Linked DNA regions of Neodiprion lecontei. Each later gene encodes a partner of the first gene's protein in a complex. Links are inferred from orthologs where the notes say so. Each region holds a gene or a part of one and is shown on either strand. Other genes may lie near its edges.

Region 1 (7,277 bases):
TAAGGTCCAACTCTAATTCGACCATAGATTTATCAGTCTTCTCCATATGGGTAATATTGATGCCCCAGTGTGCTAGATGCGTGATAAGATGCGGATCTTCAACCATGTCATCTTCATCGTAAGAAAAAACATCCCCTTTTCCTTCTTTGGTAATTGTTCCGAGCTTAACAGCCAAAGGGTGGCCCGTGGTGCGATAGTGTTCAATGGCATGATCATTCCCACCAGTTCCGTCATAAAACTTCCGCCCGCAGAGTATTGACCCATCGGTTAAATTGAGCCATAGGTTCGTGGTCAAATCACAGTTCTCACATTTCCAGCCGCTTGGAGGAATCTTCTTTCCATTGCCCAACTGTTTTAAATTTGCGGCATGCCTGGATAATGAAAAAATAACCTGGTTTAGCCTTGGTAATAATAATTCAGTACATGTAAAGCCAACATTATCAATTTCGTCAGTTTTGTCTATTACTTTGAAACTATTCTCGCTTCTCCGTCCCAAGTTCCAGCTAAGGCTTCTGTTTCTGCTAACTTTGAGGCAGACTCTGCTTCCAATAGAGATTTTATGGCAGTTTTAACCTGGCGAATAATTTAACGATTGATTTAAATTCTTCACTGGATACTGCTTATTTGCGCACTACTTAATATAGCACATACTTGTTCAGGCAAATCATCCTTAGGATACGGTATTGTTACATAATTGGGCAATATAACAATCTCGTAGGATTCGTCATACTCGTATTTTTTAGTATCCGGTGTGAATCCTCCCACAACCCCGATCGCTAAACGGGTTATTTTTTTCTCAGGACCATCCCCTTGCTGCTCGGCAGGTATCTGTAATACGTTATAGATAAATAGTTGGAAAAATAAGTGCCATAAATGTCAGTATCCAGAAGTATATTTTTAATTGTTGTTTCACCATCTGTTTCCACTGCATTCAACGACTCTCGTAAACATATTTAGAGAAAGACTTATACGTTATGCCTTGAGAACTTAGCCGTAACATTTTGGAATAAATTTTGCAGAATGTAACTGACGTATGGTAAGCTATAATTGAAAACAAGTAAAGGAAGCATACTTACTTCTTTTTTTGATCTCTTCAAGCGAAGAAATACAGGGTTATTGGTCCTTTGATAGTAAGCATCGACATGATCCTGACCTAGTCCCAAATATGTTGTAAGATTGAGGTAGAGTCCATTCGGCGATTCCTTGTATAGAATTTATACGATTAGACTTGATACGGAAAAATGAGAGGTACAGTGCGACAGAATAAAATATGAAACTCACTGGTGTGTCAAACGAGAAAACACATTCATCTTTATATATTTTGTCTCCCCGCTGGGGTATTTTTATTTTATTTAAGTACTGTACTAGCTCGCCCATCGTGTCAAACAGTAGATCTAATTTAATATACGTGGGAAATTAATATCAGGAGGATTCTTTACGCACTAGACAGTCCGTAGTTTCATTCTTTTTGTAAATATGATGAATATAACCAACAAATATCTAGCCGGCCACAATTGATGTCAATGATTTGCGTTAATCAAAGGGAAACCGATGTGGAACCGGAAATCAACAGTCAAGCGGCGTTTTACTGCAACACATAGTTATACCTATGTATAGTTTCAAGAGATTGTCCCGGTATGTAATAGCGAATGCGAAACCGTTGGCTATGCATTCCCAAAATTAGCTGGCAGGGCTAAAAACTTCGTATGATAGAGATACAGCTACCGCCGAATTCGGCAGTGCAAAAGAAATAAGAGATTGTTGACAGCACTGGGAGCTAACACCCGTATTCATAGTCCCTCCTTATCTCAAGGATAAAGAACGCCTTGATGAAGGCTTCCTTGAATCTCGAGGCGTCCTCGTTTCATAGTCACAACTTGGCTCTCCCTTCCAGAAGGAAGACATATTTAGGGATATGTGATTGCTTATAGTGGTAAAACTGCTGATGAGAGTGTATAACCTCAAAGAAGTTAACCTGTAAACTGGCTGTGATCGCGTCATACGGGTCATAAGTGCACAGACGCCAAGCGCAAGCGCAAGCGTTGGCGACATGAAACGAAACAGCCAATCGCAGTGCCGAAGGTTTCCTCAAGGAAGCTCGAGATCTGCCTTGAAAGAAGGAGGCCAATAAGATTCCTTATTCTGTCGAGGAAGGTCTATGAAATGTGAAATGAGGAACAAGGAATCCTTGTTATTTCATTGTTTGGCGCGAAACAACTTGTCCGGTGTCTTCGAGGCACGCTTCACCAACCTCACTTCCTTTACGTTTTAATGACACTGAGCAAGTGAATCTCCTACTCCGCATCACGGTTCTTCAAACTTTCAGAGATATTTTTTGAGAATTGAACAGGTGACCGCTTCTCGTTACTCCGGAAAAATGTACGAACTTAGTGAAGGAGCCTTGGACGTAAGTTTCCTGACGTATCTTATTAACATATTCGTGTAATAATCGTTCATGTCAATGAATTTTTTCCCACAGCAAATCATGAACGGTGTCGAGGTCGAAAAGCCGATTTTACAGATATTGGTGAGCAGATCCATTCAATATTATACGTGATTCATACACTGGATACCCATAAAACAGAATTTCATTGTTAACCATCTGCCAACAGTCACGCTGAAGCATCAATCCACCAATACTCCAATCTAATAACGATCGAACAGTCGCTTAATCCACATACTTCAATTCATTCTAATACAATTGAGATTGAATTATTCTTTTAACTATTATGATACATCCTTGAAGTAAAGCGCCTTCGTTGTCTCAGATGTTTAATATTTTGTTTTCAAACTTCCCCTGTTCTATCTACTATTTCTGGAAATTCTTGTTTCGTCATAATACTTTTCTTTCAGGGACACAAAAAGCTGCAATCGGCGAGCACTCAGGAGCGCTATCGCCTCCTAGTTTCAGATGGTAAAAGAATTAACTCATACGCGATGTTGGCTACACAGCTAAACTCGCTGATTACCAACGACCAACTGACAGAGTTTTCCGTGTGCCAAGTTAATCGATACGCAATTAGTATGATCAACAATTCAGGAACACAGAAGTAAGTTCACAGGAAAACAAGTGTTACATGTTCCATATCACTATTTTTTTTTATTAGAATCGTCGGACATATTTTTTCATGGATTGCTGATGTTTTTTCTGAATTTCGGTTTACTATTTGATCAATCAGGAGAGTGATGGTCATACTCAACATTGACGTTAAGATTCCGGGCACTGAAGTGGGCTGCAAAATAGGAAATCCTACCCAGCAAGACGGCAATGTACAGAACGGAGATTCTACTCCTGCTGCCCGATCAGCAGCGCCTGTACCAAAAACTAATAATTCCTCAAATTCTGGTAAACCGTGAAAAACACTTGTGTTATTGCATGAATCAGAATCGTCGGTATTATCCAATCTTAATTAAATACTATTTTGATACTGTTAAACACTAAAAGATTCATATTTACTTATTTCTTTTTAATTAACCTTTTTATTCTTATGTTATGCTATGGCGAAACACTATTTTTTTTTTTTTTTTTTTTTAACTGAATTTGTGGCAAAATTATATATAAATCTCACTTTTAATAGTTCGTCCTGGAAGACAGCAGCAATCTTATCTTAATGATTCAGTATCCTCTGGTGCTGGTATCTCAACTACACCGATAGAAGCCCTGAGTCCTTATCAAAACAGGTAATCATGTCATTTAGCAGTTTTAGTTTTTGTGGTGTAAAAAATATGCAACTACAAATTGAAAGTTGTGTATTTACTTAACAGGTGGGTAATCAGAGCTAGAGTAGCCAATAAGTCAGCTATAAAAACGTGGAGCAATGCACGTGGCGAAGGTTCCCTCTTTTCTATGGATTTAGTCGATGAGACTGGCGAGATTCGCTGCACTGCATTCAGAGATCAATGTGACAAATTTTACAACATGATCGAGGTATGTTCAGATTAACTCATTTTCATGCAATCATTTGTGACTACTTGTGACTACGCATTAACTTGTGACTAATATCAGTTGTTATAGTAACGTAATATATTGTTAAAATTATTCAAATTTTTTTTATCAAGTTTTTCTTTCTTACTAGTTTGGAAAAATTTACTATATTTCACGTTGTCAACTGAAGCCAGCGAACAAGCAATTCAGTAATTTGAAAAATGAATACGAGATGACAATGACATCCGAAACAGAGGTTGTTCCTTGTCACGACGATTCTGACGAGATCCCAACAGTGAAGTACGATTTTGCACCAATCAGTGAAATTGATGGAAAGGAGCCGAATGCAATAATTGGTATGTTTTTGTTATTCCCATTCACGGGCCTGTGTTAAGAAATGAGATATCAAATATTTTTTTACTCGTACTGGTATATTCTTTTTTCTAGATGTGCTTGGCGTTTGCAAATCTTGTAGTGATATCACAACTGTAGTTGCGAGGACTACAAGAAAAGAGCTTAAGAAGAGGGATGTCAATCTTGTTGACGAAAGCAATACAATGGTACCAGAAGAATTTCTAGCATATCACCACAAGTTCAACATACCTAGTAAAACTGACTAATTGTCACATCTTATTCAATTCAGGTTACTCTCACATTATGGGGAACCCAGGCGGACGAGTTTGATGGATCTTCTAATCCTGTTGTTGCCGTGAAAGGTGCACGTCTTGCCGAATTTAATGGTGGAAAATCTCTGTCTACCCTTAATTCGTCAGTGCTCCAGATTGACCCAGACATTCCCGAAGCTCATAGGTACAAACTGTCAATCTTCCGATTCTCATAGCAACAGATTTGCACACAATGAGACAGTTTGACTGAATATCATTGTTACTTATTAGGCTCCGTGGTTGGTACAACACAACTGGATGCACAGAGAATGTGCATACCATTTCTAAGGGGCTGGGCGGTGGCAGTGGGGGAATGAATGGTCCGTGGTTGACGTTCAAGGAGGCTAAAGACATGCAGCTGGGCTGCAGAGAAACTCCCGACTACTTCATCGTCAAGGCAACTATCAATATGATAAGGACTGAAAACTCTCTTTACAAAGCGTGCCCGACCGATGACTGTAAAAAAAAAGTAAGTAACTCGTGATACTGATGAAGCGCGCACATCTGGAAAAATTGCCCTTAAAAATGTCACACTTTGAAACAAATGCCTCAGTGAAAGAATAATGTACCCAAATGTAGCCCAACAATAATTTTTTTTTTCCATACAACAGCTTATCGATCAGTCCAATGAAATGTATCGTTGTGAAAAGTGTAACAGGAACTATCCAAACTTCAAATATCGACTGCTGGCCAGTGTGAGTATCAAATACAATATTAGTGTGTCAATTTCTGAGAGTGCAGTCTTGTGACTCAATCATGAATATTCTTGTCTCAGATCAATCTCGCAGACTGGACAGACAACCAATGGGTAACCGCGTTCAATGAGGAGGCTGAAAAGATTTTGGGAATGACGGCACAAGAAATTGGTGAATTGAAGGATAATGATGATGAAGCGTTTCTTGAAAAGTTCGGTGAATCTGCTTTCAAAACTTTCCTTCTCAAATTGAGAGTAAAAATGGAAAACTATAGCGTAAGTCATTCAGCTTCCATTCAAATTTGTAGGTTACTTTTTCAGGATATCAAATATAATTTTTATCCAGTTCTAAATTGGAACAACTGTTTTTCAACACCTAAGCCTAAATGCCATTTGTTTTTACAGGATGAGAACAGATTGAAGTCCACCGTAGTGAATGTGACCCCGCTGGATATTAAAAGCTACAACAATCATCTGATCGCGCAAATTAAAGAACTTTCCAACATGGGCAAGGCATAAATTTTTAGCCCAAGTTTCGATTACTTAAATGTTGAAACGTTATTGTAAGGTATTATTATTATTATTATTGTTGTTATTATTGTTATTTTCACTATACCGAGCTTGTAACAGCGGTTTGTACAATTTATGCAATGCTGATTCGGTTTAATGTTATCAATATATTAAGTTAATTTATATAAGTGTCCCATGAATATTGCTACTCTAATGAATATTTTTAATTGATCACCAATATTCCACGATCTTTGCTCTATGTGCTCGAATATATTGTACCATTTATAAATACGGTATTGTTCCGAATATACCCCGAGGTTTTTTTTTTTTTTTTGTTAGCATCCGCCAAGATCGTCCTCGTCTTATATGTAGTTAACTAAGAAAAACTCCCTCAAATACTGTCTTAGAATTGGGGGTTGGCTTGTACTCTGAACAATACGGTACATATATTTACTCGTATACTTATTAAAATAAACTTCGAATTTTGCTGTAAATTTGGTCGTATTTTAACTCGAGATACGTGAACTGAAAATCGGCAGCTATGAAGAATGTTGGCAGTTATGCTGAGGTCTGATTAGCCTGGAAATTTTCGTAGGCTCACGATCAATGATAATAACTCTAACACCCCTAATACATTTATGAGAAAGCAAGTTCTGGAACTGGTAATATTTCGTATCAAGGTCGTTTTTTTTAAATTTATGGGCATATTACTAAATAAGAAAACTTGAGAAAAATTATTTTAGAATGCTTTATAAATAAAAAATTGAAGTTAAAGGAAAATGAAAGAAGTGAATTAAACATTTTTGTCAGACAGATATTTTGCTACAAAACTGATCATATCTGATAATCTTAATTCAGCAAGTCACTTACTACATTCTGATAAGCTTATGTTTCTGACTATAAATTGACAAAGTTATTTTTCTATATCTTGATAGTGTACTGATATGACACGTGTTGCTTGGAATATCTCGTATAATATAACTTAGTATAGTGTCAGTCGACATTGACAAAACAATCATGAAGAGTTCTAAAAAATTGAAACTAACTCTGCCAGATGAAAAACGTGCAACTGAATTTCCTAACACAGATCCCATTAAAATAACAGGGTTTCGAATTAACGAACACACAATTGATGGAACTGAGAAAAGGTCAGTTATTTTGAATAATAATGAAAAGCTTGTATTACTTTATACATTGTACTTACGTTTTTACACATTAATTTTCAGCCAAACAACAGAGTTAACGAAACTCACAAAATACCGACCAATTGCATATTACAAGTTGGTAAGTATTTTATTTACTATGACTTGGTTGTTCCACCTCCCTGGTAAAATTTACCTTCTAAATAAACTGCTAAAGTGCCAATGTAATTAAGATGAGGTGCCTTATTGCGGGTAAATTTTATCAAGAAGATAGCGAATAATCGGAGTTCATTGGCAGATTTTATTAATTGACATAATTTTATATTGATTCTCATTACGAA
Region 2 (5,742 bases), on another chromosome or scaffold:
CTTACCGTCCCGACTGTTCACGTGACACGATAAGCCACATATATCCCTTGTTTAGAAGAAATCAATTTTAGCAAACAGATTTGCTGCTACTTGACCTGAAAAGATTATCAGTAATGCATTCTCATTTTAAAGACGAAGCGTTTTCTCTCTGATTTGTCGAATTTATTTTCGCGAACTTATACAGTATTCATAAACGTGGAGGATCTTGTTCAACAATTGTGTACTGTAAGTTGAAGCATGCTAGTAAGTCTACCACTGCCAAATCAAGGTCCCACTGGGAAAAAATTCTAGTTAATTCAATTTTACGACTGATACGTCTGGAAATCAAGTTCAGGTCAAGTGGAGATGTTATTAAACGTAAACCTATTTTGTCTGGTTTGTCATAGGTGTGTTAATGCAATAGTGTTATTTCAATCGTGTGCAAGTGTAAATGTGTGTGTGTGTGTGTGAGAGAAAGAGAGAGAGAGAAAAGAAGCTTTGAAATAGTATCTATCATAGTACGAATCAAATTTAATTGAATCAAGTGAAGTATTTTGCTTTAAATCTTATATAGACAATTTAAGTGTTAGATTTTGAATAATTTTTCTGGTTTTACACAGAAATAATGAATATTTAAATTATGGTCATGTAATCATTTCATGTGGATGGACACTGCGCCATGTAATTCGATGCTTTTGCACTTTTTCAACCTTATAGGAATCATTTCAAAAAGAAAGACCATCTGACGTGAAATGAATTTTGAAAATCATTGATTTAATCTAGAGACGCATTATTCATCTATTTTTATGCCAAAGGTACAACAATATAATGCGATACACTGCAAAATGTTGCATAAAAACTTCCATCATCGAGTCGTACTTCTCACACAAACGTCACAGTTTGTAATCAAAGTACAGTCGATGCTAAAAATTCTTTATACAAAACCATCAGAAATATACTATACAATTAAGTACAATAAATCGCCACAAATAAATCATTACTGCATTCAAATTTATTTAAACTCGTCTGGCAGAGGTTTCTCCAAGATGTGGTGTTCCTATTTGAGATGCAAAATGTTGAAACCTGCATTCACGTCGCGGTTGTAAGAAGAACCTGGAAAAAATAAATACAACGTGCTTTAATATCAAAACAAACCGAGCGTAGTGCGAATTGTGCAACGTCCTATGCAGCATTATCACAAGTGAATTCACCTGAATTGATATCGACTCCCGAAGGCGCACCAAACTTTCGGCTTTCGGTTACTTGAGGTACTGAGTCATCTGTATTTCGGTTATTTGGCATCCCGAGCTATCCGTTATTTCATATCGAACCAGCGGCCGTTTTGGTACACGAAGCGGTGAATTTACTACGTTACGCTCGACGATCCAATATTAATCAGAGTTTTTCCCCATCTTTTCCAATAATTTTATGTGCCAATTCATGAGCCGCTTGATCCATACGTTGCATTGGAGTAATCGTAGATTTACTTCGTTCTTCAATATTGCTAGTCCAATTTTTCAACTTTTCTTGTCTAATAGATTTACCCGTAAAATGTCTAAAGTATCGAGACTTGGTTTTCATATTGCAAATGCTGTCCGTTCGCTGTTCAGTAGCCGGGTCGGCACGCCGTCGAGAACTATGATAATTTCGGCTTTGTAGCGTTTATCGCTTTTTCGTTGAGATTAGATTTAGAATTGTTAGTTGAATTTTATCGGGGTTTCAGAATTATTATGCGATAGCATGGCAACAGGTGTGTAAAAATCAAGATGTCTATATTTTAATCCGTGTACAGAGTATAAAAACATATTGTTGAAATCTTGAATTTTTACAATTGCATGGCAACGCCAAAAGGTAGCTGATGTTTGAATATATTAATATTTTACGTGCATATGTGTATGTATGTACAATGATTAGATAGAATATGCTAGAAAAATCAATTTCTAAATTGTGGATTATGGTAGATCGATATTTGCTAATTCTAAATCGTCATCTTCTAGTGCGACGAAATTATCAGTCTGACGCAAAGAGCAGTCTTGAGGGTCAGGAACAGAGGACAGAAGGATGTCAGTTTCCTTGTCCATTTCGAAACATATTTTTTCTGGTAATTCTCTGGGTGCAGATTTAAAGCCAGCGCAGTCATGATCGTAGCACTTTTGGAATGCTACTTTGTTATTCAAATCAACAACCCAATATACCCCATTGCTTTTATGTGGCCTGCCTATATTCGCACAGTATCTGTAACAGAAAAAAGTCGAATAATTTATATGTATCAAGTTTGGTGAATTTTATAGAATGCGTTACGAACTATGTCATCAAATTCAATTTTCAAAAGCATTTGACCAGTAAGAAATATTAATTTTACCTATGATCTATGAATGCATATAACATTACGCTGTTATTCAGAAGTTTGACTTCCCGAATTTTGCCAGGTTTCACAATGTCTAAGATGAATTTATCGATGTCAGGATATGGTGATTCAATTTTCTTCTCAGCTCTGACATAAACCCGACGCTGACTTAAGCATTCTTTGGAATATTTAATCGCGTCTACCGAATTTTTATCCTGGTATTCAAGTAAAATCAAATTCTTAGTACTTGGTACATAAGATATCAAAGAGTCTAAGAATAATCCCAATTCTTTGTTCGTGTATGTTGTGCTGAGGATGTACTCAGAATCGTCGCTCACGGTCAGGTGAGAATTCTTTCCCAACTTGGTAGACTTGTAAATTCGAAAGTGCCTGTTTCTTGTGTAGACTCCTTCATCTACAAAGAGCTCTTTTCCCTTTGTGGTATTGATAAATAACTCTGCCAAATCTTCTTTGTGAAAGCGGCTTAAAATATTATCAACGGAGGATCGTGTGGCATTGTCTAGCAACAAACTTTGCCGAATATTAGAGCATATGGTTTTAACAAACCGTCCTGCATGTTGGTTATTCTTGAACATAACGTTTTTCACACGGAACACTAAATGCCGGCTGAATTTAACGTCGGTGGTTGAGTCCAGGCTTAGAACCTCTGATCTTCTGCAAGGAAAACCCCAGTGTTCCAAAAAATGTGCACAAAATACATCGATCAGTGTTTTTGTCATTTTTGAGCCATCGCTTGATGGGTTTAGATCCTTTCCAAATTCCAAATCAAAATATAGGTGGCAAGGAGAGCCGTCAGGTATAACCTGATATTGGAACAACAGGTGTGTGAATATTTCAGCTCTGTCAAGTCGTATTAATTTTTTTATTAAAAAAAAATCAAACCTCGTATGAACATCTCTGCTCCTTGGGTCTAGATTCATCGACAAGCCAGTAGATTTCTGGGTGCGCTACAATGAATTTTCTGTATCCCTCATCATATTGCAAAACGAAGGTATGCATTGAGTTTGAACTTCCTTGATCGGCTACAAGCAACGCTTCTTGCTGCCTCCAAAATTCACCCCAAAATTCAGATGGTCCCAACAACCGTCTTCGCTTAATCTTAGCTTCTTCGCTATCGTGTATGGACGACGATAATTCCCTGACTCTAGATTGATGCTGAGCGTGACTTTCGATCAATGTTTTTCCATAAAATGTATTTTTCGATATTTTACTCATTATTGTTGATTTTTCGGTGGATTTTTATCTACTTTCCAAAGTAAATATTTTCTCAAGTTCGTCACCTTGATCTTCTGGGCGTTGGATAATTCAAAACACAGAATTGGCTAATTTACGTCAGAAACTTTCCTTTATTTTGACACTTCAACCTGCCTGAGTCTAGATCTCTGTTTTGACGGGGTTGACGGAATACAAAGTCGGTAGTCCGATTGTTGCCTGTCGGAACCTGTCGAGAGCAGTAGCTGTATACCTCCCCCCCCCCCCCCGCAGACGTGCCGGCTGAACGCAATTGCACAACTTGACTCGCGCATGCGCGGATGCCTCGCACGAGTCACATATCGGCGGCCCCTTTGAACCAAACGTGCGACGCCATTTCGTGCCAGATGGTGCCAGACACCGGCTGCGTGAAGATAATATATTGTAAAGACGTTCAGTCCTGGGCTAATATAACGTCCGGCTGGGTGGGACCGAGTATGTCCGGCGGTAATTATATTGCTTTGTTTACTTACTTACTGACCCGTCTTAAGAAATTCCGGTGTTAATTCGCGTTTGCATAGTAGAATACTGTAATTTTCTCCCGACCTTTTGGCTTCTCTTACCATGCCCTTACATCCCAGCAATCTGAGCCTCTCGCAAGTACTTCGCCAATAAAGGTATGTTTTTCTTTTCGGCCTGTACAAATAGCTAGTTAGTGTGAATTCGTTGCGTTATTTTGGAAGCTGTCTGCATCGATTCTATGCCTGGTGTTTGCGGATAGATAAATAAATGTGCGTAAAACGTACGTGGTTTTTTGCGCCTTCCGAGAAATAATGCTCTGTAAAACATAATCGGTATTTGCACCTAATATTTGAAGGTAAACGAATGTCGGTAATTCATCGATATTTACTGACAATGAATAACGTCAGTTCGTGAATACATTGCCGACATGCTTTTGTCATCGAAAATTAGTTCCAAAAGTTTGGTCACAGAGCGCTTTCTACTGCAATGATATAAAAATTGTTAGCATCGAGTTAAAACGATAAAGAAGCAGGAAGAACTACGTAATCGGCTATAAACGGAAGGAAACTATGAAACATACAAGCTTTGCCTTGCTCATCACCTTGTCCGCATGTAAGTTATTATATTTTCAAATTTATTCCAACTCGGTTGTCATTTTGCCCCGCAAGCGTCGCTGCTGCAGCGCTAACTTCAGAGCACTCACAGAATCTCGGGACATTGACGAGTTCGAACGTGCTGGAATCGCGTCCTGTGACTCGAATTTGTGAGAAACTTAAATTAACAGTTTTTTTTCAAACAAATCCGGTCTGTGGGGCTGGCCTTGGTAACTGACCGTCAAAAAAACAATTCAAAGTCACGTAAAGATTCGCTTTTACGCGGTTTGCTAGCGACTGACTTTTTTCTACGCTAAACAAATGACGATCGCGATTGGACCGTTACCGTGTTCTTACACCAAGTCCGTAAATATTTTCGGTGTATTCCTAGATAAATCATGTGTTGAGTGTGCTTTTCAGTTTATAACATTCCATTCTCAATTTGTCACGATTATATCGAGTATGAAAAGTCATATACGATCGCTACAGTGATATACGCAGGTATGTATATATGTGGATACAAGCGTGCATTATACGTTTGCCCTTTCAGTAAGTTCAATCGTGTTTTTACATAGCCCTAGGTCATTGTTCTTCACAAATTGCATGTCAAGTCGCTACTGGTACGACTCGCGAGCCAATTGTGCGATAAAAATAACAACTACAAACCCGTTGACGCTGTTATAATCGTTATTTATAATTTTCAACAGGCACGTGCGTGCTCAATTGTTGAAAACTAGCGGCTCTACGACGCCGAAGGTCATCGCTGACAAAGCCTATGTCTTGGAGATCGATCAGGAGAGCTGATTCGACTGATTCTATATTCTGGAAGCATCAAACTATCGGTAAGCCTCACATGCAATTTATTTAAGTACTAAGACTTTGCGATATTTATCCGTGATTTCATGCCTGATCGCAAGGTAAAAATTTCGTAGAATTGATTTCGCCGTATAGCTCTGTGAGTCCCTTACACCCTGCAATTTTCTGAAACAAGGAAAATTCGTTTTTAAATGTAATTCGTGGCTTTTACAATTTGTACGTATCAGGATATCATGATATTTTAAATACGCTTCGTGCTCTCAGGAGGAGAAT

Evidence for each region. Proteins that work in one complex are often made in the same cells at the same time.
Region 2: the proteins of replication protein A 70 kDa DNA-binding subunit (region 1) and DNA-directed primase/polymerase protein are in contact, whole or in part, in a crystal structure (PDB 5N85), measured with the Homo sapiens proteins. The link is inferred for Neodiprion lecontei from reciprocal best matches to the Homo sapiens genes RPA1 and PRIMPOL. Residues at the interface, in NP_002936.1 of Homo sapiens: Arg31, Pro32, Ile33, Thr34, Thr35, Arg41, Arg43, Leu53, Ser54, Ser55, Met57, Asn85, Leu87, Lys88, Arg91, Arg92, Val93, Tyr118, Asn119, Glu120; in NP_001332824.1 of Homo sapiens: Asp514, Asn515, Gly516, Ile517, Asp518, Asp519, Tyr521, Phe522, Leu523, Glu524, Ala525.

The regions. Positions count from the first base shown.
Region 1 is NC_060264.1:2,098,139-2,105,415, forward strand, and holds replication protein A 70 kDa DNA-binding subunit, read left to right. Parts: upstream 1-2,085; 5' UTR 2,086-2,377; coding exon 2,378-2,407; intron 2,408-2,479; coding exon 2,480-2,527; intron 2,528-2,853; coding exon 2,854-3,050; intron 3,051-3,179; coding exon 3,180-3,346; intron 3,347-3,578; coding exon 3,579-3,681; intron 3,682-3,765; coding exon 3,766-3,928; intron 3,929-4,076; coding exon 4,077-4,281; intron 4,282-4,372; coding exon 4,373-4,485; intron 4,486-4,568; coding exon 4,569-4,735; intron 4,736-4,821; coding exon 4,822-5,059; intron 5,060-5,201; coding exon 5,202-5,285; intron 5,286-5,365; coding exon 5,366-5,560; intron 5,561-5,689; coding exon 5,690-5,803; 3' UTR 5,804-6,574; downstream 6,575-7,277. Other genes in the region: ubiquitin carboxyl-terminal hydrolase 5, read right to left, coding at 1-371, 467-573, 652-828, 1,077-1,202, 1,282-1,377; ATP-dependent translocase ABCB1-like, read left to right, coding at 6,812-6,942, 7,021-7,078. UniProt on the Homo sapiens protein: As part of the heterotrimeric replication protein A complex (RPA/RP-A), binds and stabilizes single-stranded DNA intermediates that form during DNA replication or upon DNA stress.
Region 2 is NC_060265.1:27,967,378-27,973,119, reverse strand, and holds DNA-directed primase/polymerase protein, read right to left. Parts: upstream 3,798-5,742; 5' UTR 3,563-3,797; coding exon 3,230-3,562; intron 3,151-3,229; coding exon 2,342-3,150; intron 2,215-2,341; coding exon 1,932-2,214; 3' UTR 1,191-1,931; intron 1,093-1,190; 3' UTR 696-1,092; downstream 1-695. Other genes in the region: stAR-related lipid transfer protein 7, mitochondrial, read left to right, coding at 1-25. UniProt on the Homo sapiens protein: DNA primase and DNA polymerase required to tolerate replication-stalling lesions by bypassing them.